Mus musculus: one gene and its partners. The protein of the gene in region 2 purifies or fractionates together with the protein of the main gene of each other region. This does not show direct contact. Links are inferred from orthologs where the notes say so. Each region holds a gene or a part of one and is shown on either strand. Other genes may lie near its edges.

What was found.
Region 1: the proteins of Nup107 (region 2) and Seh1l purify together in Homo sapiens (affinity purification with mass spectrometry; 5 studies listed by BioGRID and IntAct, with this or other methods). This does not show direct contact. The link is inferred for Mus musculus from reciprocal best matches to the Homo sapiens genes NUP107 and SEH1L.
Region 3: the proteins of Nup107 (region 2) and Nup43 purify together in Homo sapiens (affinity purification with mass spectrometry; 8 studies listed by BioGRID and IntAct, counting the BioPlex papers as one, with this or other methods). This does not show direct contact. The link is inferred for Mus musculus from reciprocal best matches to the Homo sapiens genes NUP107 and NUP43.
Region 4: the proteins of Nup107 (region 2) and Nup37 purify together in Homo sapiens (affinity purification with mass spectrometry; 7 studies listed by BioGRID and IntAct, with this or other methods). This does not show direct contact. The link is inferred for Mus musculus from reciprocal best matches to the Homo sapiens genes NUP107 and NUP37.
Region 5: the proteins of Nup107 (region 2) and Tpr fractionate together in Homo sapiens (co-fractionation; 4 studies listed by BioGRID and IntAct, with this or other methods). This does not show direct contact. The link is inferred for Mus musculus from reciprocal best matches to the Homo sapiens genes NUP107 and TPR.
Region 6: the proteins of Nup107 (region 2) and Sec13 purify together in Homo sapiens (affinity purification with mass spectrometry; 8 studies listed by BioGRID and IntAct, counting the BioPlex papers as one, with this or other methods). This does not show direct contact. The link is inferred for Mus musculus from reciprocal best matches to the Homo sapiens genes NUP107 and SEC13.

Annotation. Positions count from the first base shown.
Region 1 is NC_000084.6:67,773,427-67,777,675, reverse strand, and holds the start of Seh1l (nucleoporin SEH1), read right to left. Parts: upstream 2,801-4,249; 5' UTR 2,667-2,800; coding exon 2,556-2,666; exon of another isoform or gene 1,985-2,555; intron 1,644-1,984; exon of another isoform or gene 1,404-1,643; intron 1-1,403. UniProt on the Homo sapiens protein: Component of the Nup107-160 subcomplex of the nuclear pore complex (NPC). The Nup107-160 subcomplex is required for the assembly of a functional NPC.
Region 2 is NC_000076.6:117,768,706-117,772,205, reverse strand, and holds part of Nup107 (nuclear pore complex protein Nup107), read left to right. Parts: intron 1-812; coding exon 813-872; intron 873-1,684; coding exon 1,685-1,830; intron 1,831-1,969; coding exon 1,970-2,018; intron 2,019-3,500. UniProt on the Homo sapiens protein: Plays a role in the nuclear pore complex (NPC) assembly and/or maintenance. Required for the assembly of peripheral proteins into the NPC. May anchor NUP62 to the NPC. Involved in nephrogenesis.
Region 3 is NC_000076.6:7,674,004-7,677,503, forward strand, and holds part of Nup43 (nucleoporin Nup43), read left to right. Parts: intron 1-1,002; coding exon 1,003-1,154; intron 1,155-2,236; coding exon 2,237-2,359; intron 2,360-3,500. UniProt on the Homo sapiens protein: Component of the Nup107-160 subcomplex of the nuclear pore complex (NPC). The Nup107-160 subcomplex is required for the assembly of a functional NPC.
Region 4 is NC_000076.6:88,170,992-88,174,491, reverse strand, and holds part of Nup37 (nucleoporin Nup37), read right to left. Parts: intron 2,498-3,500; coding exon 2,407-2,497; intron 107-2,406; coding exon 1-106. UniProt on the Homo sapiens protein: Component of the Nup107-160 subcomplex of the nuclear pore complex (NPC). The Nup107-160 subcomplex is required for the assembly of a functional NPC.
Region 5 is NC_000067.6:150,434,338-150,437,837, reverse strand, and holds part of Tpr (nucleoprotein TPR), read right to left. Parts: intron 2,196-3,500; coding exon 1,923-2,195; intron 1,121-1,922; coding exon 972-1,120; intron 436-971; coding exon 352-435; intron 1-351.
Region 6 is NC_000072.6:113,737,882-113,741,827, forward strand, and holds the start of Sec13 (protein SEC13 homolog), read right to left. Parts: upstream 2,801-3,946; 5' UTR 2,767-2,800; coding exon 2,764-2,766; intron 118-2,763; coding exon 73-117; intron 1-72. UniProt on the Homo sapiens protein: Functions as a component of the nuclear pore complex (NPC) and the COPII coat. At the endoplasmic reticulum, SEC13 is involved in the biogenesis of COPII-coated vesicles.

The DNA of each region.
Region 1 (4,249 bases), on a different chromosome or scaffold from region 2:
GAAGAGGTTAGAAAGATGGCTCAGCAATTAAGAACACTTACTGCTCTTGTAGTGGACCCTGGTTCAGTTCTCAGCACCCACATATGGCTCACAACTGCCTGAAACTCCAAGGGATCAGTTCCTTCTGACCTCATACAGGCACACATACATGCACATATACAAATAATGAACCTTATAAAGTCAGCACAGGCATTCAACTATCCCAGAATGAACTTGACAAAAATCTGTTTGTTTTGTTTTGTTTCACTATGTAGTCCTGGAACTCACTCTGTTAACCAAGCTGGTCTCTACCTCTTGAGTGCTAGGATTAAAGGCATACACCACCACCTCCCAGCCTTTTGTTTTTAAGACAGGGTCTCTCTACATAGTGCTGACTGTCCTGGAACCCACTATGTAGACCACACTGGCCTGGAACTAATCCAACTACCCCAGCCTCCCAGGAGCTGGGATTAAAGGCGTGTGCTACCACATCCAGCTTGAGGACATTCTTTAAAAGTAAAAAAACATTCAAAGAACGGAGAAGATTGGTAAATACAGTGAGTTGTTCAGATAGCAAGGAACTTACTAGTTACTTTTTTTAAAGAATCATTTACATGTGTAAGTGTGCATGCACGCTGAGTGAAGATCACAGAGAAGCCAGAAGGCAGCACTGGTGCACGGGATCTACTGGAGCCGCAGTTACAGATGGTTGTGAGCCGCGGACTATTAGTGCTGAGAGCCAAGCTTAGTTCATCTCAAGAGGATACTCACTCTTAATCATGAAGCTATCTCTCCAGCTCCACAGTAACTTTTTCCTAAAAGAAAGTCTATCATTTACACAGATTTTTTAAAAAAGTGTGTATAAACACAAACCTCTTGAGTAAGATAAAGTACTAAAGTAGTGGAGTAGTGGCCCACACCTCTAATCCCAGCCCTTGGGTCTCTGAGTTCCAGGACAATCTATTCCACATAGGGAGTTCCAAGACAGCCTGAGCTACGATGTAGTATCAAAAAAGAAAAAAGAAAAGAAAATGTACTCTGGACAACCTGACTGCCCTTAATCCAAACACCAACTATATAGAACTCTCCCACAAGTCCAGAGAAAAGTGTCCATGACTACACCTGACTGCAATCCTGAAGGCACAGCTCCAGCCCAGCTGCCGGCACTTTTTACTCTCTCACAAGCTTTGAGGAACTCTGGAGGACCGTCAACCATTTCCACCAGGCAATTCCACCTAGTGACCTAGCAGGGACTGCTGTAACAGGTGCTAAAAGGTTGAGGGCTAAGTGGCTCAAAGACCACTTTCTCTGGTTCTCCAAGCAGGCTACTCAGGCTCACTAAGTCAGTCAGCTGTAGGTCATCCCTCCTAATGTGATATAGGCCTCATAAAAGGCTTGAGAGATGTCTTTTTCTTTTTCAATAGCGTGAACAGAGCGAGCACACAAAATCACCTGCAGAGATGCCAGAGGGGTGACTACAGCAGAAGCAGCAGAGACGAGCAATCCTGCGACCAAGCTGTGAAAGCCACAGGCAGTTTGGTAGCCTGACAGCTAAAGTAGCCCCTTCACTGGTTGTCTGTGCACGGAAGCAAGCATCGAAATGCAGAAGTACGTTCTCTCCCAATATTGCTGTATTACCTTAGTAAATACCATTCCTAAAGGCTATAATTTGATGTCTGCTACATAAATCAGCTGCACTCCTTGGCCAACAAAGGACCCAGGATCGGTTCTCCCAACAAGATGGATCACAATCTTAACTCCCTCTTCTGACCCGCAAAGACACCAGGTAGTGCACCTTCATACACGCAGACAGAACACTCACACGAATAAGTCTTTGAAATTGTGGGGTTAGGGGAGTGGCCTCGTTCCTGGTGGCGCACATATTTAATCACACCACTCTCGGCAGAGGCAGGCAGATCACTTGGGGATACAGGACTGAGACCCTGTCTCCCAAAAAAAAAAAAAAAAAAAAAAAAAAAAAAAAAAACATCGTAGCACATTCAACGCACACTTGTGATAACCATCTTCAGAGACCACTTGAACATGAACAAGAATTAAAACCTGGTGTCCAGCTATTTTGGCGTTGTGAAGGAGTTCAGACTTGGAACCCCAGCGTGGTGAAACTGAGACTGGAGGACTACAGCCGGGTCTAGAGTCTAAGATAATCTCAGAAAACGTGTGTGTGTGTGACTGGCGTGTATTAGCCCTTCAGGGCATCCCATGTGTCCTGGGCAGAGGAACACAGGCGAGGCCCACAGGAATGACACACACAGCGCCAGAGGAAAAAGAACCCCAAAGTCCGCACAAGCGCGACAGCCGCGGCCCACGCCGCAGGCCCAGCATGCGCGTGCGCTTAGCGAGCGCCCCAGGCCGAGAGCCGCACCGCGCAGGCGCGGTAGGAAGACGCCGCGAGCGCGGGAGGCCGTGACCCCACAATCCGCCGGCGGGGAGGGCTCTCGCCGCTTCCGGCGTGGCGGCGTCGGCGGCTGCGGCTCGCACGCGCCTCGGTCCGGGCTAATCCCTTCTGCGCCGCCTCCCTCCCCTCCCGGCCGGGCAGCGGCGAGTGCCGCGCGCACCTTGACGCTCTGATCGCTGGAGCAGGTGGCCATCCGGCGCCCGTGGAAGTCGAAAGACACATCGTGGATGAGGTCCTTGTGGTCCGCCGCGATGCTGCGCGCCACAAACATGGCCGCCGCCGTCTGCCGGGCCCGCCTCCGAGAGGGCGGCGGTGCGGCCCGCAGCCCCCGGACCACCGCGGAGGCACGTACGGCACGTCGGCCCTCGCCTGCCCGCCCGCGTCGGCCCCGGCGCGCCACGCCCCGAGGGACACGCCCTGCGCGGGCGGAGCCTGCGTCCGGACCTCGCTGCAGCAGCAGACGAAGCTGGGAGACGGAGGATGGAAAAGTGAAAGCACCTTCCGGGGTCAGCCTGGGGGTGTGCGCCTCCGAAAACACGTGATCCGTGCACAGAGCTAGTAGACACTTCCCGCAGCCAATTTGAGTGGGTGGTTCAACCGCGTAACCAGAGCTTCTTAGGAATGATGGGGACGCCCAAAGTTGTGGCTTAGGGAGTCCCGCTCAGCGAGTGCAAAGTCCGCCCGAAGGATGAAATTGAAGAGGAGTGGAGAACCTGAAGCAGCAGTCAGTGATGAAAGATGGCACAAGTACAGCAGGCTCAAGGGTGTCAGCAAAACAGAATGTGGAAAAAGACTTTCTAGAAAGTCACCTGGGGTGATGGCAAGACCCAGAAGGATATCCAATATTTACTTGAATGGAGCCAGTCTTTAATGGAGAAGTAAGTAAAACAAACAAAAATAGCCTGCAAAGAGAAACGTGTGAAGGAAAGTGCTCAAATCAGGAGAGTCAGTCAAACTCGGGAAGTGGTGGAACATTCATTCTACAAGGGTTTTAGGTGAGAGAGAGGTTGTCTGTCTAACTCCCACGAGATCAAACTCTTGACTTTGGTTCCATGAGCGCCAGGATACACTTGGTGCACAGACATATATATAGGTGAAACATGCATACAGAGAAAAATAAGGATGTTTAAAGAATGGGAATCGTTTTAAAAGGCAGACTTTAAAGGGTCTCAAAATAACTGGACCCACTTGTTCCCTGATGGAATTGTACAGAGACCTGCAGAGACCGATAGTGAAATGATCTTACCAGTCTTGAGTTTTCCTTACTCATCTTTAAATTAATAAACTCTGGGGCATGGCTTGAATGACTCACCACCTTTATTTTAGTTCCAGCTCCAGAGAATCTGAAACATCTGGATTCCTTGAGGATCTTCACTCTTCCTGCACACAACAGATAAACATACACACAGAGACATAAATAAAAGTAATCCTTTCTGAGATTTTATTCCTATTTTAGAGGTAGAGCCCAGGTCCATCAGCTGTGTGTAAAACTAATAACTATTCATTAATTCCCAGAAACAAAACACACTATAATAAAAAAGTACAATTAAGTCTATACTTTTAAAAGTAAACATTTATGAAAGCTGTTTATCATTTTTTAGAGATGTATTTATTTTTATATGTAAGAGTGGATTGCCTTCGTGTTTGTAGTATAGCATGTATATGCAGTACCTGTAGAGACTAGAAGAGATTGTTGAATCTCCTAGAACTGGAGTTATACAGGGTGTGAGCTGCCTGGTGGGTACTGGGAGCCCAACCCAGGTCCTCTGCAAAAGCAGCCAGTAACCTTAACTGCTGAGCCATTGTTCTAACTCCTCAAAGCCAAGTTTAAAGACAGTAAACATTTACTGAAAG
Region 2 (3,500 bases):
TGATTATATGTAAGTACACTGTAGCTGTCCTCAGACACCCCAGAAGAGGGAGTCAGATCTCGTTACGGATGGTTGTGAGCCACCATGTGGTTGCTGGGATTTGAACTCTGGACCTTCAGAAGAACAGTCAGGTGCTCTTACCCACTGAGCCATCTCACCAGCCCACTTTTTTTTTTTAAACCCTGGAATTTGCTTGTTGAATTGGGTGTCAGAAAATTGAGAGGAAGTGTTTAAGAAGTGTAGCATGGCCATGCAAACTGATGTAACTGAGTCACAGACGTAACGAGGGGCCTGTTAGATTACCCAGCCACCAAGGGATACAGGCTGCCTGGGATGAGGAGTGGAAGCGGAGTCTCCAGAGTTGCTTCTTTGATGACAAGAAATGCTGACACACGGTTGACAGAGCCCTTAAAATGAAATGGGATAAGGTTGTGGTTGTCACTGTGCTTAGGAATGGGTCCCTAAAGCAGCAGTGACTCCTAAGCTCAGCGTTGTCCCCAGGCCAGCATGGGAAGGCATCGCTGCTGAGCCTCTGGAGGAGGAGCACCCGGTTCTGTGGAGGTTAAAACTCTACTCTGAGTGGCCAGAGCCTAACTGCAGTGGCCTTGTGTGTGTGCTCTCTGTATTTGAGATTTAATGTTGATTTTTGGGGGTCGGGGGGAGATTATTTGGTGAAACTAAAAAGCCCTCTCTGCTGCCCTAGACCTGTCACTTAAGAGCTAAGGGACTAGGATCTACCCAGAAGAATTGTGAAGAGACTCACACGCTCGGAGAAGTAATAATCACAAATGCTTTCGCTCGTTGTGTTTTAGGAACTTTTTAATAAATATGAAAGAGCGATTTACGCGGCACTGAGTGGGAACCTTAAGCAGGTATGCAGTGTGGGGATGCTGAACTCTTTCTGGGGAGTGAGACCGAATCCTTAAATGTCCATAGTTGTGTGCAGCAGACTTGAGCTGCTTCCTAAAAGCCTCCAAGCCAGAGCCCGCCAGACAGCAGGGCAGTGACAAGAGTGACGGCCTGCTTACTGGGAGGGACACTGCCCACTTATGTGTGCTTGTCAGGTTTTTGTTTCTCTGTATGGTTTTTTGATTATTAGCTTGCTTCTGTTGTTACTTTGTTATAGTTTCTTGATATATCACTCATTCTGGCTCTCACTTGCCTCTTTTTTTTATGTTTTTATTTGGGTTTTTGAGAGTAGGGACTTGCTTTGTAAATCAGGCTGCCCTTGAACTCATGACCCCACCCCCACCCCGGCCTCCTCAGTGGTGGGATTGTAGGGGTGCACTTGGTGCTTACATGGAGAATGCCAGCACCTGTTTCCTGATGACTCCTGTACCAGAGTCTGCAGAGATGCAGTGCGGAGACGGTGCATTTGGCCTTAAGCCCACAGACGTGTGTGTCCCCAGAGCCATCGGCTGTCCTGAGGCACGCTCTGATGTTTGAAATACCCTTCGATATTAGAATACAATGTGACTATGAACTTGGTATGGAAAAAGTCTTAATCATACAAACTTCTCAAAAGTTCTAGTTTGGGAGAAAGGTTACTTGGTATATATTTCTCAACCCCTCAGTGTCCCCTGTCATCAGAAGATGGCTTTTGAAGTTTGTAGTCAGTGGGTAATTGGTTTCCCTTTCTTTCTTGCTGACTGTATCATGTTTCTCTTTTGGAATGGATGAAAAGCTCCTTCCAGTCTGTGACACGTGGGAAGACACGGTGTGGGCCTACTTCCGGGTGATGGTGGATAGCCTGGTGGAGCAGGAGATTCGGACATCAGTAATGACGCAGGATGACAGTGAGGAGCTCCCTCGAGAGTACATGGAAGCCAAGTGAGTGGGACGCACGGCAGGCAGGCAGGCATGGTGGCACTGCACTGGGTCACTGCACGCACGCACGGCAGGGAGTTTGGTTGCACAGCACTCCTCAGGTGGTCATCTCTGTCCCTTTTTGTTTTTTCCTCTTTTGAAGTTGGACCTTAGAAAAAGTTTTTGAAGAACTTCAAGCCACTGATAAAAAGGTAAGTGTTAACAAAGCCTGTTACATGTATGTCACGTGTATGAAGTTGATGTTAGCATAGCCCGGTCCCATGTAGCATGTGCAGCTAATGTTACACAGTTGCTCAGTGTAGCTGAAAGGCAGAAAAGTCGGAAATCTCCTTTCTCATCGTTTCCTCACAGCTATGGAAATAAGGGACCTCAAAATTAATATTGATTGGAAAGGGCCTGATGGTCGTTATTGTCGCCCTAGCACCTAGAGGGCTGAGACAGGATCCTTGCCGCGATTTCTAGATGGCTGGGCTATATAGTGAGATCCTGTCTAAAAACAAAATGAAAAACATTTTTTGTTTTTTTCTTCTTCAGTAACTAGTATATATATGTACTTATAATGATAAAACAATTTTAATGTATGCCAGTAAGGCCTGCGTAACTCCTTCCAAACACCCCAACCTTATTTCCCCAGACAGTAAACAAACATACCAACACATACACACTGCATCTTTCTCCATGGCCTTCAAGTCCAAGTAAGCACTGTGGATGCTGAGGTACAGGGTTAGGCAGGCTCTGGATGCTGAGGTGCAGGGTTAGGCTCTGTGGATGCTGAGGTACAGGGTTAGGCAGGCTCTGGATGCTGAGGTACAAGGTTAGGCAGGCTCTGGATGCTGAGGTACAGGGTTAGGCAGTCTCTGGATGCTGAGGTACAGGGTTAGGCTCTGTGGATGCTGAGGTACAGGGTTAGGCTCTGTGGATGCTGAGGTACAGGGTTAGGCAGGCTCTGGATGCTGAGGTACAGGGTTAGGCTCTGGATGCTGAGGTACAGGGTTAGGCAGGCTCTGGATGCTGAGGTACAGGGTTAGGCAGGCTCTGGATGCTGAGGTACAGGGTTAGGCTCTGTGGATGCTGAGGTACAGGGTTAGGCAGGCTCTGGATGCTGAGGTACAGGGTTAGGCAGGCTCTGGATGCTGAGGTACAGGGTTAGGCAGGCTCTGGATGCTGAGGTACAGGGTTAGGCAGGCTCTGGATGCTGAGGTGCAGGGTTAGGCTCTGTGGATGCTGAGGTACAGGGTTAGGCAGGCTCTGTGGATGCTGAGGTACAGGGTTAGGCAGGCTCTGTGGATGCTGAGGTACAGGGTTAGGCAGGCTCTGGATGCTGAGGTACAGGGTTAGGCTCTGTGGATGCTGAGGTACAGGGTTAGGCAGGCTCTGGATGCTGAGGTACAGGGTTAGGCTCTGTCGATGCTGAGGTACAGGGTTAGGCAGGCTCTGGATGCTGAGGTACAGGGTTAGGCTCTGTGGATGCTGAGGTACAGGGTTAGGCAAGCTCTGGATGCTGAGGTACAGGGTTAGGCTCTGTGGATGCTGAGGTACAGGGTTAGGCAGGCTCTGTGGATGCTGAGGTACAGGGTTAGGCAGGCTCTGTGGATGCTGAGGTACAGGGTTAGGCTGATGCTGAGGTACAGCGTTGAAAAGGTTCAGATCATCTTTCCACTTAGTGGTAATCT
Region 3 (3,500 bases), about 110 Mb from region 2:
CCATGATTAAACTGATGAAGCCAAGGTAACACAATGGAGTTGATTCTACCATCTTACATTAGCATGTACTTGTATTGATTCAGAGCCTTTATGTCTTTGAAGTATATATTGTTTAAAAGAGAACTTGTTTCTTTTTATCAAATGATTATATGATAGAGGGTTATAAATACACTGTAGATGTGATTGCAGATAAAATAAAATTCAGGGTCATTATTCTTTTTTTCTTTTTTTTTTTTTTTTTTTTTTTTTTTTGGTTTATCGAGACAGGGTTTCTCTGTGTAGCCCTGGCTGTCCTGGAACTCACTTTGTAGACCAGGCTGGCCTCAAACTCAGAAATCCGCCTGCCTCTGCCTCCCAAGTGCTGGGATTAAAGGTGTGTGCCACCACCGCCCGGCAGGGTCATTTTTCCAGAGCTTTTTAGATGTGTAATCTTTGCTCCTTTCTTAAGAAACTAGAATGTACTATCAGACTAGAAAAAATTTATATGAACTAATTAATATAGGCATAAAGAATGGCTGCTGTAATTGATATTTAGTTTTACTTTTAAATTGTAGTTAGACTATGTATTGGCGTGGCTTAGCTATGTGCATGTGATTGCAGGTACCCACAGGCCAGGTTTGTAGGATACTCCTGGAACTGGGCTGACATACGACTGGGAGCCACTGATGTGGGGGCATGAACTTGGGTCCTCTGGAACAGTATCTGCCCAGAACTACTGAGCCAGCTCTCTTGCTGGACACATACTTTTTAATAGAAATCTTTCTTACACATCTTACCATTATGTTATTTTGCCTCCTAGCCTTTAATTCTAAACTTTTATTACTCATATATATATATATATATATATTTACCATTTAGTTGAAATTTTTTGTTTTCACTAAGATTTAGTGTCTCCAGCCACATAACTATTTACCATTTAGTTAGTGGAATGAAATGTTTCTTATTAGGCAAAGATAAATTGTTTTTTACCATATCTTTTGATATTGTTCTGTCTTCCTTAAGGACTGGTGACCGAGTGCCACTCCACTGTGTTGACAGACATCCAGACCAGCAGCATGTTGTAGCTACCGGTGGCCAGGATGGAATGTTGAGTATTTGGGATGTCAGACAAGGTACCATGCCTGTGTCATTACTGAAGGCTCATGAGGCTGAAAGTAAGTATTGTGGGGACACAAAGCTTGCATTGAATGAGTTTCTCATGAGCATGAAGTGATTCATAGGGACCATTTCACATCAGCGCTTTTAGTATCTGGCCCGTATAAGCCAGATAATCTCTTCCTCTGTTTACGCCCTTTAATGTTCGTTCATCATATCTACAACTGCAGTCAGTATTACTACATGCTCCTCTTACTGAGCTGATGGCCTTAGGTTTTTTGTTTTGTGTTTTCTTTTTTCTCAAAACTAGAACCTATGGACCAAACCGTCATACTTCATGTTGTCAGGTTACTGACTGTTCTGTATAAAATTATCACTTAATATTTCCTAATTTATGAATTCATTAATTTTGTGCAGTTTTGAGATAGGATCTCACTTTGTAGTCCAGGTAAGCCTGGATTTTACTGTATACCAAACTAGACTTGACTATACCACAGTCCTCCTGCCTTAGCTTCCTATGTGCTGAGATTACAGGCATGAGCCACCACTCTTTGATAAAATATATTCCCATTCCCTATTACTGGGGAATGAGCCAGGACCTTAAGGGTGTACTCTGTCCCTGAGCTATATCACAAGGTCCAACTGATCTTTTTGTTTGATATTCCTTTTTAGAAAGACTCTTTCCTAGGGGATCTGACACCCTCTTCTGGCTTTTACTCAAATAGAAATACAAGAAAGCAAACATCAAAACAGTACTGCAACATGACCTGGTTTATGAGATGTTCATCCAGAAAGGTGTGATCCCAGCAGCTAGGTCACAGAGGCAGGAGGACTAAGAGTTCAAGGCCAACCTGTGTCACAGCTGCTGGGATCACACTAAAAGATAAAAGCTGAGAATCTTATTCCTGTGCAGATGAGCTGGGGTACCTATAAACTTTAAGTCTATTGAAAATCAAAGGCTTCAAAAGAGAGCCCTATCTGGAAAAACAAAAAACAACAAAACAAGAAAATGTAAAGAGATGCAGACTATAAGTAACCTTTTGGTGACTATAACATGAAGATAGGTAAGGGCCACTACTTGTGGGTAGGCCATAAAATAACCTCTGTGGATTACTAAAATTGATTTCCTTCTGTCTTTTAGTGTGGGAGGTTCACTTCCACCCGTCCAACCCAGATCACCTGTTCACTTGTTCTGAAGATGGATCTCTCTGGCATTGGGATGCCTCCACAGATGCACCTGAAAAGTCTTCTCTCTTTCACCAAGGTAAAGGTTCTTGTGTGCTGCTTTAGGATATTTTAAATGTTGAGTCAGAATCTTGCTATGTAGACCAGGTTTGGCCTCAAACTCAAAGAGATTTACCTGCCTCTGCCTAGGAATGTTTTGCCTGCATGTATGTGGGTGTACCACATCTGTACAGTGACCACAGACACCATCTCTAGCTTGAACATTCTCAGGAGTTAAGAACACTGACCATAATAAGACAGGAAATAATTGGAATAAGACAGGAAATAATTGGGCAGAATACACAAAATTATTGTGTAGAAGAGTAAGCAGACCAGATGGATAAAGAAAAAGGGCAAGATAGGCCTAGAGAGAGTGTAGTCTCAGCAGTTGAGAGCTGCAGGCAGGATCATCAATGTAAGGCCATTCTAAGCTATATATAGAGTTTAAGGCCAGCCAGGGCTACATGAGACCGTTTCCAAAAAACAAAACAAGAGAGGGGGAGGAGGGGCTGGAGAGTTGGTTCAACAGTTAAGAAGAGCACTGGCTGCTCCTCTAAAGGACCCTGTTTCAATTCACACTATCAACATGATAGGTCACAACCATCTGTAATTCCAGTTTTAGGGGATCCAATGCCTTCCTCCAGTCTCCAGGCACCAGGCACACACATGAAATAGACATACATGCAGGCAAAACACCCATACATACAAAATAAAACAACCAAGGGCGAATGCAAAAGGAAAGACTCATTTAATTTTTAATTATGTTTTTTGCATGTTTATATTCGTCAATGTGTATATAAGTGTAGTTGGCAGCTGAGGCCACATCAGATCCCCTGAAGCTGGAGTTACAGGTGGTTGTAAGCCATCTGTCTGTCTTGGGTACTGGGAACTGAACCCAGGTCCTTTGTAAGAATAGCATGTGTTCTTAACAGCTAAGCCATCTCTTGGGCCCTGGAAGTTCATTCGCATGAACTAGGAACTTATATTTTGTTTGTTTGTTGAGACAGGTTCTCTTTATGGAGTCCTGGCTGTCCTGGAACTCACTAGGTAGCCCAGGCTGACATTGTACTCAAAGGTCCTCTACCTCCCAAGTGAGGAACTTGTATCTCTGTGTACATTTTGGGTTCTTCTTTCCTTACATTTGGTTGTTTATGGTACCTCTCTTTCCATTAAACTTTCCA
Region 4 (3,500 bases), about 30 Mb from region 2:
AGTGTGCTGACATTAAGGGTGTCTGCTCTGACTGAAGAGATAAAATTGCCTGCTGAGCCATTAGATCATAAAACCGGATTGTTCCATTCTTCTCTGCAACCATTAGCTGTAATACAGGGTGGAACAAGAAAATTCTACATGTATCTCATCAGCTAAATTTGAGAAAGAAGCAGATTCAATGTCATAAAAGAAAAATAAACATATATCACACACGTATGTATATATACACACATATATATCACAAGCAGAAGCCAAATGCATAAGTATCAGAGATACCTATAGGCTTGTTCTACAAGCACCTAGTAAATATTGAACTCTTAAATCAAGAAAAGAGTGGCTATTATTAGTATTAGTAATCCCTTGTAACTCAGTATTTCCTTGTTATAAGACTCCAATAATTGAAATGATTCCAATAATTTTAGATGTTTAATAAATTGTTATGAAATATATGAAATACGTAACCAAATGCATAAATTTATACAATAAATCCCAATCTTAAAAAAATTACAATATGAAAACTGTTTCTTAGATTTATGAAAACATGTCACAGAATATCATCTATAACGAACAAGATTTTTCCAAGTATGCTGGACAGGGTATTAATAGCTATTATCCATGAATATGCTTTATCTACTGTGTAAAGTCCCTTCTTTCTGAGAATGTTTGTTTCATTCAGGTGCAGACATCTGGAAGTGTGAGGTAGCAGTGACAGAGTGGAAAGAGTGGGGACTGGTCAGAAACCTAAGTTCTAATATTTAATGTGTTCAATGGCTTGGAGTTTGTTTTTAATTATTTACAAGAGGGAAAACAAATTTCAAACAGAATGTACAAAGAAACACACACACACACACACACACACACACACACACACACTCACACATGCACATGTATTCATCAGGACTAGTTTCAAGAAATAGGCATTCACCATGTTAAAGCTGTCTCCATTTAAGAATGAGGGGGAAGGAGAACATTCTCTAATGCATTGTGGTAATTTGGGAGCATAATAACTAACTGAAATTGCGGAGTTAGATCATAATTATGAAGTACAAGTCAAGTTAAAAGAGGGATGACCCCTGTTGACCTAAGCCTCCTGTATATATACACCAATATAAAAGTTAAAATCTAGGATCTGAACTTAAAGAAAACACAAGAATAAGTCTTACTTATTTACTTTGTATAGGTTTCAATTTGCACCAACTGACCTGCAAATGTTGTGACAATTTTTTTCTATGGCTAAATACTAAAATCCAATTGTGTGTGTACATATACATTTCCTTTATCCATTGATAAACATTTAGACTATTTGTTAGCTATTCTGAATAGTGTAGCAGTAATCACTAGACACATCTATGAACACACATATGTACAAACACACAAACACACACACACACACACACACACACACACACACACACACACACACACACCATGAAACTCAAAAGGGGACCTATGAGAAGTGAAGAAGAAAGGGTATTCTAATATCAGAGGGTCAGAGAATACTGTGACGTGAAGGAATGATGGAGGTCTTGGAGGACAAGAAGGGGACCAATAAGAAGGTAGGAAGACAGTGGAAGGGCAGTGGGGTATAGTAATCAATAAGAACAAAATATGCACGACAATAATGAAAGAAAGCTAGAACAACAAAAAAAAAAAAAAGGAAAATATATCCAAACATTTAGAAATAATAGGTAGGAAACAGCCTTAAATTTAAAAAGAAGTTGCCATAATATAATTGTATATTGAGAAAAAGCTTTAACAATGTATATTTGGTAGACAGGATCAATAAACTCTATCTTTTGTGCAAAACTGAGGGCAGAACAGTGAAATGAAAAAACATGAGGATGTCAGAGGTCTATGGAACTCAGGTGTCCAAGGGAGGTGTATGGCTGCAGGAGAAGCTGCAGGGTTCATTCTGAGGTGCACACGGCATTCGCATTCTATGAGAGAACGTGTTGAATGGCTCCTGTTTTCACCATGAATTACGGCTAACTGGTATTTAAAACTCATTAGTACTTTAGAAAGCTTTGAGTGCCTCTAATCTAGGACACATGCGCCTTATGCCACTGACACTTCTTGTTTATATATGGCTCATATGCATGGATTTAACTTCGATTTCTTTTTTCTTTTTTGAAAACTGCATACTGCTAACTAGACTGAATACCAATTTTTAGGCTGTAATCTGCCAAGGGCCAGGAAAAGCACACTCTGTATATATGAATGATAGTTGCAAAAAAGCTAACAGTTTTCGAGAAACTATGAACGTATTTATTTCTATAAAACTCAAATGCAATTGTACTAATCTGTGCCTGAGGTAGAAAGCCATTGGTCCTTTCCTTTATGGGTATGAGGATTATACCTGTGTGCCTTTTAAACTTGGTAAAGGAAATTTAAGTTATAGATAACAACCTTGAAAGTTTCCTCGGGATGCCAGCATACACTCATTCCAGGAGAATGCAGAAGAAAATGAGCTGTCTGCTTTCCTTCCAAGTTCCAAATCCTAATAAAACAGTATGGATGTTAAATACATCACTACAAAATAAAATAAATGAAACTTTGACAAATGTATTTAAAGTCATTACCTATGTATTATTACATGTATTTGTATTTGATAAACATCTTTGAGAAAAAATAGTCATTGGAAAATATAAAAGGAGCATACAGAATTTAAGTTTTACGCTGGGCGTGGTGGCACACACATTAATCAGGTTGCAAGCCTATTTAAGTCATTTCTAATAACAATTATTCCTACCCAAGGTGTTCTCTGTCTCTGTCTCTGTCTCTGTCTCTCCCTCTCTCCCCACACCAGCCTTTCTATTTTCAGAGTAACCCATGAAGAAGCCAATGTGAAGTGACAGGCTTTTAGTAGGAGAGTCATTTCCCACAATGCTCATTCCTTCTACTTATACAACGTACTTTGGGGATGTCCTATCTTATACAAGTTCTCATCTGTCTGACTTCTCTAATGTTTTCTCCCAAGAGGGCCATGCTTAGCAGTTGCCAGATTAAAGATGGACTAGAGAAGCACTGTCCTGTCTGTACGGGTTCTGTACTGTCTATCAATAAGCATCAACTTACTCACAAATACGGCTCTTCATCTCAATGGCTTTTAATCTCAGAAGTCACAGGCATGGCACTTGGATGTGAGAGTACTGTCCTTGGGAACTATGATTTTTGGCTAGCTCACAATTGGTTCTTAGTCAGCCACTGTTACGCTGTGCTGAGTGGAGCTAGCATGTCAGGAAACATAAGTTCCATGACCGATGGGTAACAAAGTGCCTCCGGCATTTCGGTCCCCAAGTGAACACATTCAATGCTGAGGAGCACAGCTCAGTGGAGTGTGTGTTTAGCATACACGAGGCTCTGGGGTCCATGCTGAGCAATCTCCTAACAATAATCAAATGCATTCATGAGGATTTCTCCTTTCTCTTGTAGGTTTTATAGTTCTTGACTTCTTTAGGACTATAAAGAAGTTTTAAAAATTAAAGTAGGCTAAGTTTTTT
Region 5 (3,500 bases), on a different chromosome or scaffold from region 2:
ATGCCTGTAATTCCAACACTTAAAAAAAGCAGGGCTGTCTGAATTTAAGGCTAGCCTAGGCTACATGGTAAAAACTTGCCTCAAAAAGCAAAACAAAACAAATTTAAAAATGCAAGTAGTGAGCCGGGCGTGGTGGCGCACGCCTTTAATCCCAGCACTCAGGAGGCAGAGGCAGGCGGATTTCTGAGTTCCGAGGCCAGCCTGGTCTACAAAATGAGTTCCAGGACAGCCAGAGCTACACAGAGAAACCCTGTCTCAAAAAACCAAAAAAAAAAAAAAAAAAAAAAAAAGCAAGTAGTGTTTCAATAGGTCAAAACAATTGATTTTTAATAGTTGTATATGTTTACTCACTTCTCCAATGGAATCTTGAGAGTCCTGATTATAGGCTTGAGTTTCTGCCTCTCCATCAGTACTTTCTTCTGCCATAACTTCTTCCTAAATCATAATAGGTTATTTCTTACTGAGTCAGTGAACTACACGAATCGTCATCAGTGTTTCTCTAAAACGTTAAGTCGACAATTCTATGAAGCTGTGCCACAAATGTTTATATAAACATACTCAAATACTTCTTCAACGAACATTAATGAATACACACGTATAACATTTAGTATTATTACTGTTATACAACCTAACTCATCACAGTCTATGGTTGAAAAGGAACGTAATTTTGGCTAGCCTTAATCTTAAAATCACATGGCAAGTAATGTCAATGTGCAGAATGCCAATGACTAGACTTCCTTACAAAAGCAGAATTTAATTTGCTTCTGCTTTTATTAAATGGGAAGGAATTCATGAAAAGATATGCAAAGACTATAAACCAAGTGATAATGGCAAAATACCTTAGCTATAAGTGAAAACTACAGTTCAGGAATTTTTAGGATAATCTCCCAAAACTTAATTTGACATTGAGTATGACTGACAGCTAGCTCTTAGCTGCTGATGCAATGGTAATACACAGGAGTGTGACAGACCTCGGTTCCAACGGGTGTGACCATCTTCAGCTTCTTCGGGAGAGGCATTTCCACTGTGTCCTCAGAGACTTGGTCTCCTGCTTCCATGGTGCTGTCCTCTTCCTCCTCCCGAGTGCGCTTTGGCAAGGAGGAACTTGGGGTAGCTGAAACTTTCAGATCATACAATTTCAACCTCAAAAGTCAGATCATGGTAACTTCATTTAGACAAAGATAATATTACAACCAGTCTTAAAACTAGAACTTTGTATGACACATCTGATAAATTGCTATTTACAAAGTTTACATAGGACTTTCTATAAAAATAAAGAAAAATCATACTGTATATGCTAAATAATATGAACAGCTTTAATTTTCAGGATTCACATTAAGTTACATATAATATGTTGGCTATTTTTCCCCTTTAAAAACAGCCCAAAATATCTGGGGGTAGGAGGGCTTTTACTTAATGATAAAAACTGAAATTGAACTAATAGTAAATATGAATATTATTTTCTAATAATTTAAATTACAATAAATGTAATTTTTAAGCTACATCAAGCGCACATTTGAACTGTTCTTGTATCTACTGTTAAGTATGATTAAAACTAAATAAAAATATTTTCTTTCTTCATAGTAACACTGGATAGAAAGCAAATTGTTTTAGGCAATAGTCAAGATGTATTGCACCTAAGAAATGTGAAGCATATATGTCTACTGCAGCTTCATTTTAAAAATTAATCTTATTAGTCTAGAAGATGGCTTAGCCATCTTAAGCAACCAGTTAAGAGCACTGATGCTCTTCAAGAGGACCCAGGGTCAGTCCCCAATACCTGTCACTACAGTTTCCGGGGATATGATGCCCTTCTTTGATCTCTGTGGACACTAGGCTCGTACATGACACCCAAATATACAGAGACAGAGCATCCATAGACATAAAATAAAACAATAGAAAATATTAAAATGAAATCTTACCAGTGCCAAATACTGCTGTGGAAGTAGATGGACGCTCCACTGGGGAACTTTGTACTACCTCAACTATGTTTGGGGACAATTCTTGATTTGTAGGCTCAATCTGCGGGTGGCTCTGTTGAGTGGGTTGTACAAAAGCTGTAGCTTGTGTTTGCTGCTGTACAGTTAGGATGGGCTGAGAAATGGAGGGCTGAACATTAGGACTAGTAGAACGAACAGATCCACTTGCGTTTCCAAATACTGGAACATGTTCCACAGGCCCTTCTGACTGCATAGCTGAAAACAATGACAATATTTAGTAAGTATGCCTTCTAATCTACCAAAACTGAGTTATTTTACCTTATTCTTTGACATACATCTTATTAACTGTTTTTTCTATGTCTTACCATTTAATACACAAAAATGTGCACAAAAGTTATATATTGTACTGCCTATGTGTCTAATACAGTAGTATGTAATATTTGGTGGGTAAGTACATGTTTGAAAGTGTTGTACTATTTATTGGTCTAATAAAATTATAACCAGATGTAATTAACATTAAGAAGCTGAACATGGTGAGAAATTTTGTTTTTAACTGGTATCACAATGACACCATGAAAACAGGAAATGGGTTCAGAGCTGAATGGTACAGTGTTTGTACATGCGTAAGGTTTGATCCTTAACCGCACAAAACCAACCAACCAACCAACCAACCAACCAACCAAAGTTTCTCTGTCCTAAAAAAAAAAAGTTTAGTTTGGTAATCTATCTGTTAATCTTTTATTGAATGGAGGATATATATTTATTTTTGGAGTGTTTACATTATACATTGTGTACTGGCTGGTTTTGTGTGTCAACTTGATACAGGCTGAAGTTATCACAAATAAAGGAGCCTCCCTTGAGGAAATGCCTCCATGAGATCTAGTTGTAAGGCATTTTCTCAACGAAGGGTGGAGGGCTCAGCCCATTGTGGGTGGTACAATCCCTGGGCTGGTAGCTCTGGGTTCTTTAAGAAAGCAAGCTGAGCAAGCCAGGGTAAGCAAGCCAGTAAGTAACATCCCTCCATGGCCTCTGCATCAGCTCCTGCTTCCTGACCTGCTTGAGTTCCAGTCCTGACTTCTTTTGGTGATGAACAGCAATGTGGAAGTGTAAGCTGAATAAACCCCGCAGGAGTAGAAACCCTGACTAAGACACATTGTTGGGGACATGGTCTTTCTATAGAACTTTGGTTGGCCTTGAACTAGATACCTACCTGCCTACCTCTCTTTCTGATGAGATAAAAGGTATTTAACACCAACAACTACCTGTACATTTACTCAATTCTAACACATCAAAGCAGTTTAAGATCTTGCAAACCTTTTATTGAACATCTACTTGTTAAGGAAAGAGATTGAACAACGAAGAAAATGAAACTCTGATTCCTAATATAGTAGATTGAAAAGTACACGTGAAATCAAGTGCAATGATCGAATTACTACAATTCAATGGGAAGAGAGTAAGAGAAAGCATCAGGAAGTGCAGGGAGCTCCGGTGAAAGGATGATATTCGATTTGAAAGAGCAATTTTATACTATGGTTTTCCAAAATGGATTTCATAGCATAT
Region 6 (3,946 bases), on a different chromosome or scaffold from region 2:
ACTAATATACAGTAAACGCCTACTGAGGCTGCCCATGTCCAGGCCCAGGAGAAGGGCTGCGTGGATACTTACAATCATGTCCTCATGAGAGGTGTCCACAGTGTTCATTACTGACACCTAGAACCAAAGACATTCTGTGAATTCATCGACAGCAGCCACCAGTCATCTCATTAAAGCACCAATTGCTTCTAAAGTTCTTACGGGCATTCACTCATTCATTCACTAGCACGCTCATTCTATAAACGCTTTCTTTTTATTTTTCGTGTGACTGGCTCTCATCATGTAGTTCAGTCTTGCGTTGAACTCAGTATCCTCCTGCTTCAGCCTCCCAAATGCCAGGATTACATATGTGCATTTTTACTTCCGGCTGAGGATCTTCTTGGCATTAAGCCCCGTGTAAAGGACTGCACAGTGTGGAGCCGCAGCTCTTGCCTCAGAGGAGCTCGCGTGTGAACAACCTACCAGTAGCCACATCAGCCATACTGCGGTTTGTGTGGGCAGAAAGAGCCCAGGATGAAGGGGATACACAGCTGCCTTAAGGGATGAAAACCTTGTTGCTCAGAGAGAAGATATGATCCAAGCACGAAAGGTTAGCATGGGCAAAGACAGTCAGTGGGACCAAGCTGGGACAGAGTTCACGCTCCCTTTCTGCATCGCAAGCGATTCTGATGGCCCAGACAGTTTATGTGAAACAAGTTATATAAGTCAAGACAAGGATTTGGCTTTAGTTACCTCTGAGGTTACTCTCTGGCCTACTATGAACCGTGAAAGGCCCATCTAGTTTTTCACCTTGTGGGACCCAGGTCTGATAGTCTGTAGAGGCCAAAAACAGTTGTGATGGACACCAGCGATTTCTCCATTTGATTTAAATCAGCCTCCCTTGATCCCCAACTAGCTAAACTCTTACATACACAACAGCCATGACAGCTATAGAGCTTGATGCTACTTCTCTGCTAGAGAAGGTAAGCTCCTTGAAACTATCTGTAGCTTTGATGCATTCGCTGTCTGTCTTAGTAAATAGGTCTAGCTGCCTAGAACTCACTGCATAGACCAGGCTGCCTCCAGCCCTGGGATTTATCTGCTTCTGCCTTGAGTGCTCGGACTAAAGGTAGGCACCATCACACACCTCAGCTTTGAATCTCTTTAAGTTATTTAGCACAATGTTTTTTACAGATAGAAAGAACTTAGTAACTACCTACTGAGTTAATAAAAGAGCAAAGACACACATCTTTTTTTTTTTCTTCTCTCATCCACTATTAAATTCTTGGGAGAGAAAAGTGGATTGAAAAGGTAGCTTCCATTTGAGACTGACATTTCTCACCATTTCCAACAAGTCACCTTTCCCAGTGCAAACTTTGCAATTACAAAGCCTGACTCCTCAAGGCAGGTGTGGTGTTGCAGATCCTTAACACTCTGGAGGATCAAGAGGGTGGATCAAGAATTCTCCAACAGCCTGGGCTATTTTTTCAGAAAGGTAGACCCTGGGAGAGTACGGCGGCAAGGCATTCAGAAGGCACACACTGAATAAGTAAGTGTGTTTCCTTGAGAATCTTAAATGCTCTGAAAAGTGTCGGCAAAGATTAGAGAAAGAGGAGCAGCACCTGCCTGGAGACAATGACATTTTCCCGTGAGCATTGGAGAGGCACCAGGAGCAATCAATTATAGTCAACAGAAAAACTAATCAATTTAAGGTGGCAGTGAAGAAAACACCCTTACCAAAACCACACTGCTGGCAACAATCTTATCTACTAATCCTCTAACCCCCTCCCCCAACACACACCAATATAAGGTGGGTGATGTGACCAAGAATTCCCCACAATCCCAACTGGCTCAAGGAAAAGTAATTTTCTATTGGTGACCCACAGGACTTTGGAAAGCTGGCATCCTTATGACCATTCTTAACCAGCAGCCATGGGTTATGATCCACACTTTGGGATGCTATGTATTTTAAAGCTCTTGGAGCAGTCCTCCGGAGCATCTTATAAGGACACTTATGCGCTTGCTGGAACACAGTAAGAAGCTGCACTCAAAACAGTTCAGCTCATCAGAATCACACCAGGTACAAACTTAGAATGAACCTGTGTATGAGTCTCCAACTTGGCAACAAAAGAGCCAAAGGCCAACAGAAGGAGGCAGCTCCTTGCACCGCTGCGCCAACCAGGGTCTAAGACTTCCAGAGTTTCATTCCCTTAGTATTATACGGAGTGGGGTGCGGTGAAAGACATACCACAGAGGCCATGTAAATTCAAAAATAAGAAACAGAAATAAAAAGCTGAGACGATGCCCTGGAGTCACTCAGCTAGGCCTGTCATCAGTTTCCCGAAGGGACCATCACACATGGGAGTCCTGTGTCCAAGCAACTGATCCCTCCACCTCCTTTGCTGAGGTAGTGGGTGGCAGGGCGAATGATGAGGAGAATTTGGATCTTAGCTTGCCACTGCCTAGCCCAAGTGTTGATGATAGTAGCATCTGCTCCGCAGGCTACGCGCAGGCAGAGGATGTGAGCGATCGTGGGAACGCACTAAGGGCTTGTCAGGCAGTAGATCCTATGATAGCTTTGGCTGTTTTTCCAATTCTGGAGGACAAGACACGAGACGGGCAGGAGGTGGGCTCGCAGCCCGGGCCTATGAGTTCCGGAAGGCCCAGTGGCCTTGCCTTAAATTCCCGCTCCGAGACCCAGAGAGAGGCAGGACAAGCAAACTTTGAGGACGTAGAGGTGGTCTGTCTCAAAGCCACGACTATCGCAGGGATCGCGACACTTACCATAGCTGCAGCAGCGGCGACCCACGGCCTCGGACGTGGCAGCTCAAAACGCTTCACTTCCGGTGCCGGCCCGCAGCCGGCAGGCTGTCACCCAGGATCTTCCGGTCAGCAACACACTCGACTCACACAAAGGTTCCGCGTCTTCTGGATCCTCGGCCCCGCCCTCCTGCAGTTCTGCCTTTATCTTGGCTACTGTTGGGCTCTGGTTGCTGTGGCGACCCTAATCCAGGGATTTTATGATTTGAAGCCGTCGCTAGCAGGTTTTTTATTTAGACTAAGTTTTTTCTGGTTCCTGAGATGCATACATAAAATGACTAGTCATTATAGCTTCACTCTCCTTTTCTGCGGGTTCCGGGTCCCACTGGCTTATCATGACCATCGTAGAGGTTAATTTCTCAAGTAGACTGGGCTAGTGCTTTGTTAGGTCTTGCTTAAGTTTCTTTCCATTTAATTTGATGTTGACTATTGGCTTGCTGTATATTGCCTTATTATGTTTAGGTATGGTCCTTGTATCCATAATCCCTTTAAGACTTTTAACATGAAGGGGTATTGGATATTGTTAAGGGCTTTTTCATCATCTAATGAGATGATCATGTGGGCTTTTTTCAGTTTGTTTATATGGTAAATTACGTTGATGGATAAAGCAATTCCACTAAATTCAGGGACAAGACAAGGCTGACCACTCTCTCACTATCTATTCAACATAGTACTTGAAGTTCTACCTAGAACAAAAAGACAATTAAATGAGATCAAGGGGATACAAATTGAAACGGAAGAAGTCAAAGCTTCATTGTTAGTTGATATGATAGTATACAAAAATGCACCAGCTTTCTTAAGGGATGGCAAGCAGAGAGTCTCAAGTCCCTGGGAGTCTGACTGTTTCAAGGGAGAACAACTGGAACCTCCCCAAACTCTTGTTTTTAGCTTTGGTGCTTACACAGCACTGAAAGGGGAACACAGAGCCCCAGGGCAGCTCCTCAGATGCACGTGGTCACATTTCCCCACCACACTTAGAAGCCAAGTGGCCCAGAGTAGAACCTCCACTCCCATTAGCTAAATCCTTTGCTGGGCAGTGGTGGCGCATGCCTTTAATCCCAGCACTTGGGAGGCAGAAGCAGGCAGATTTCTGAATTGAAGGCCAGCCTGGTCTACAGAGTGAGTTCCAGGACAGCCAGGGCTCTAC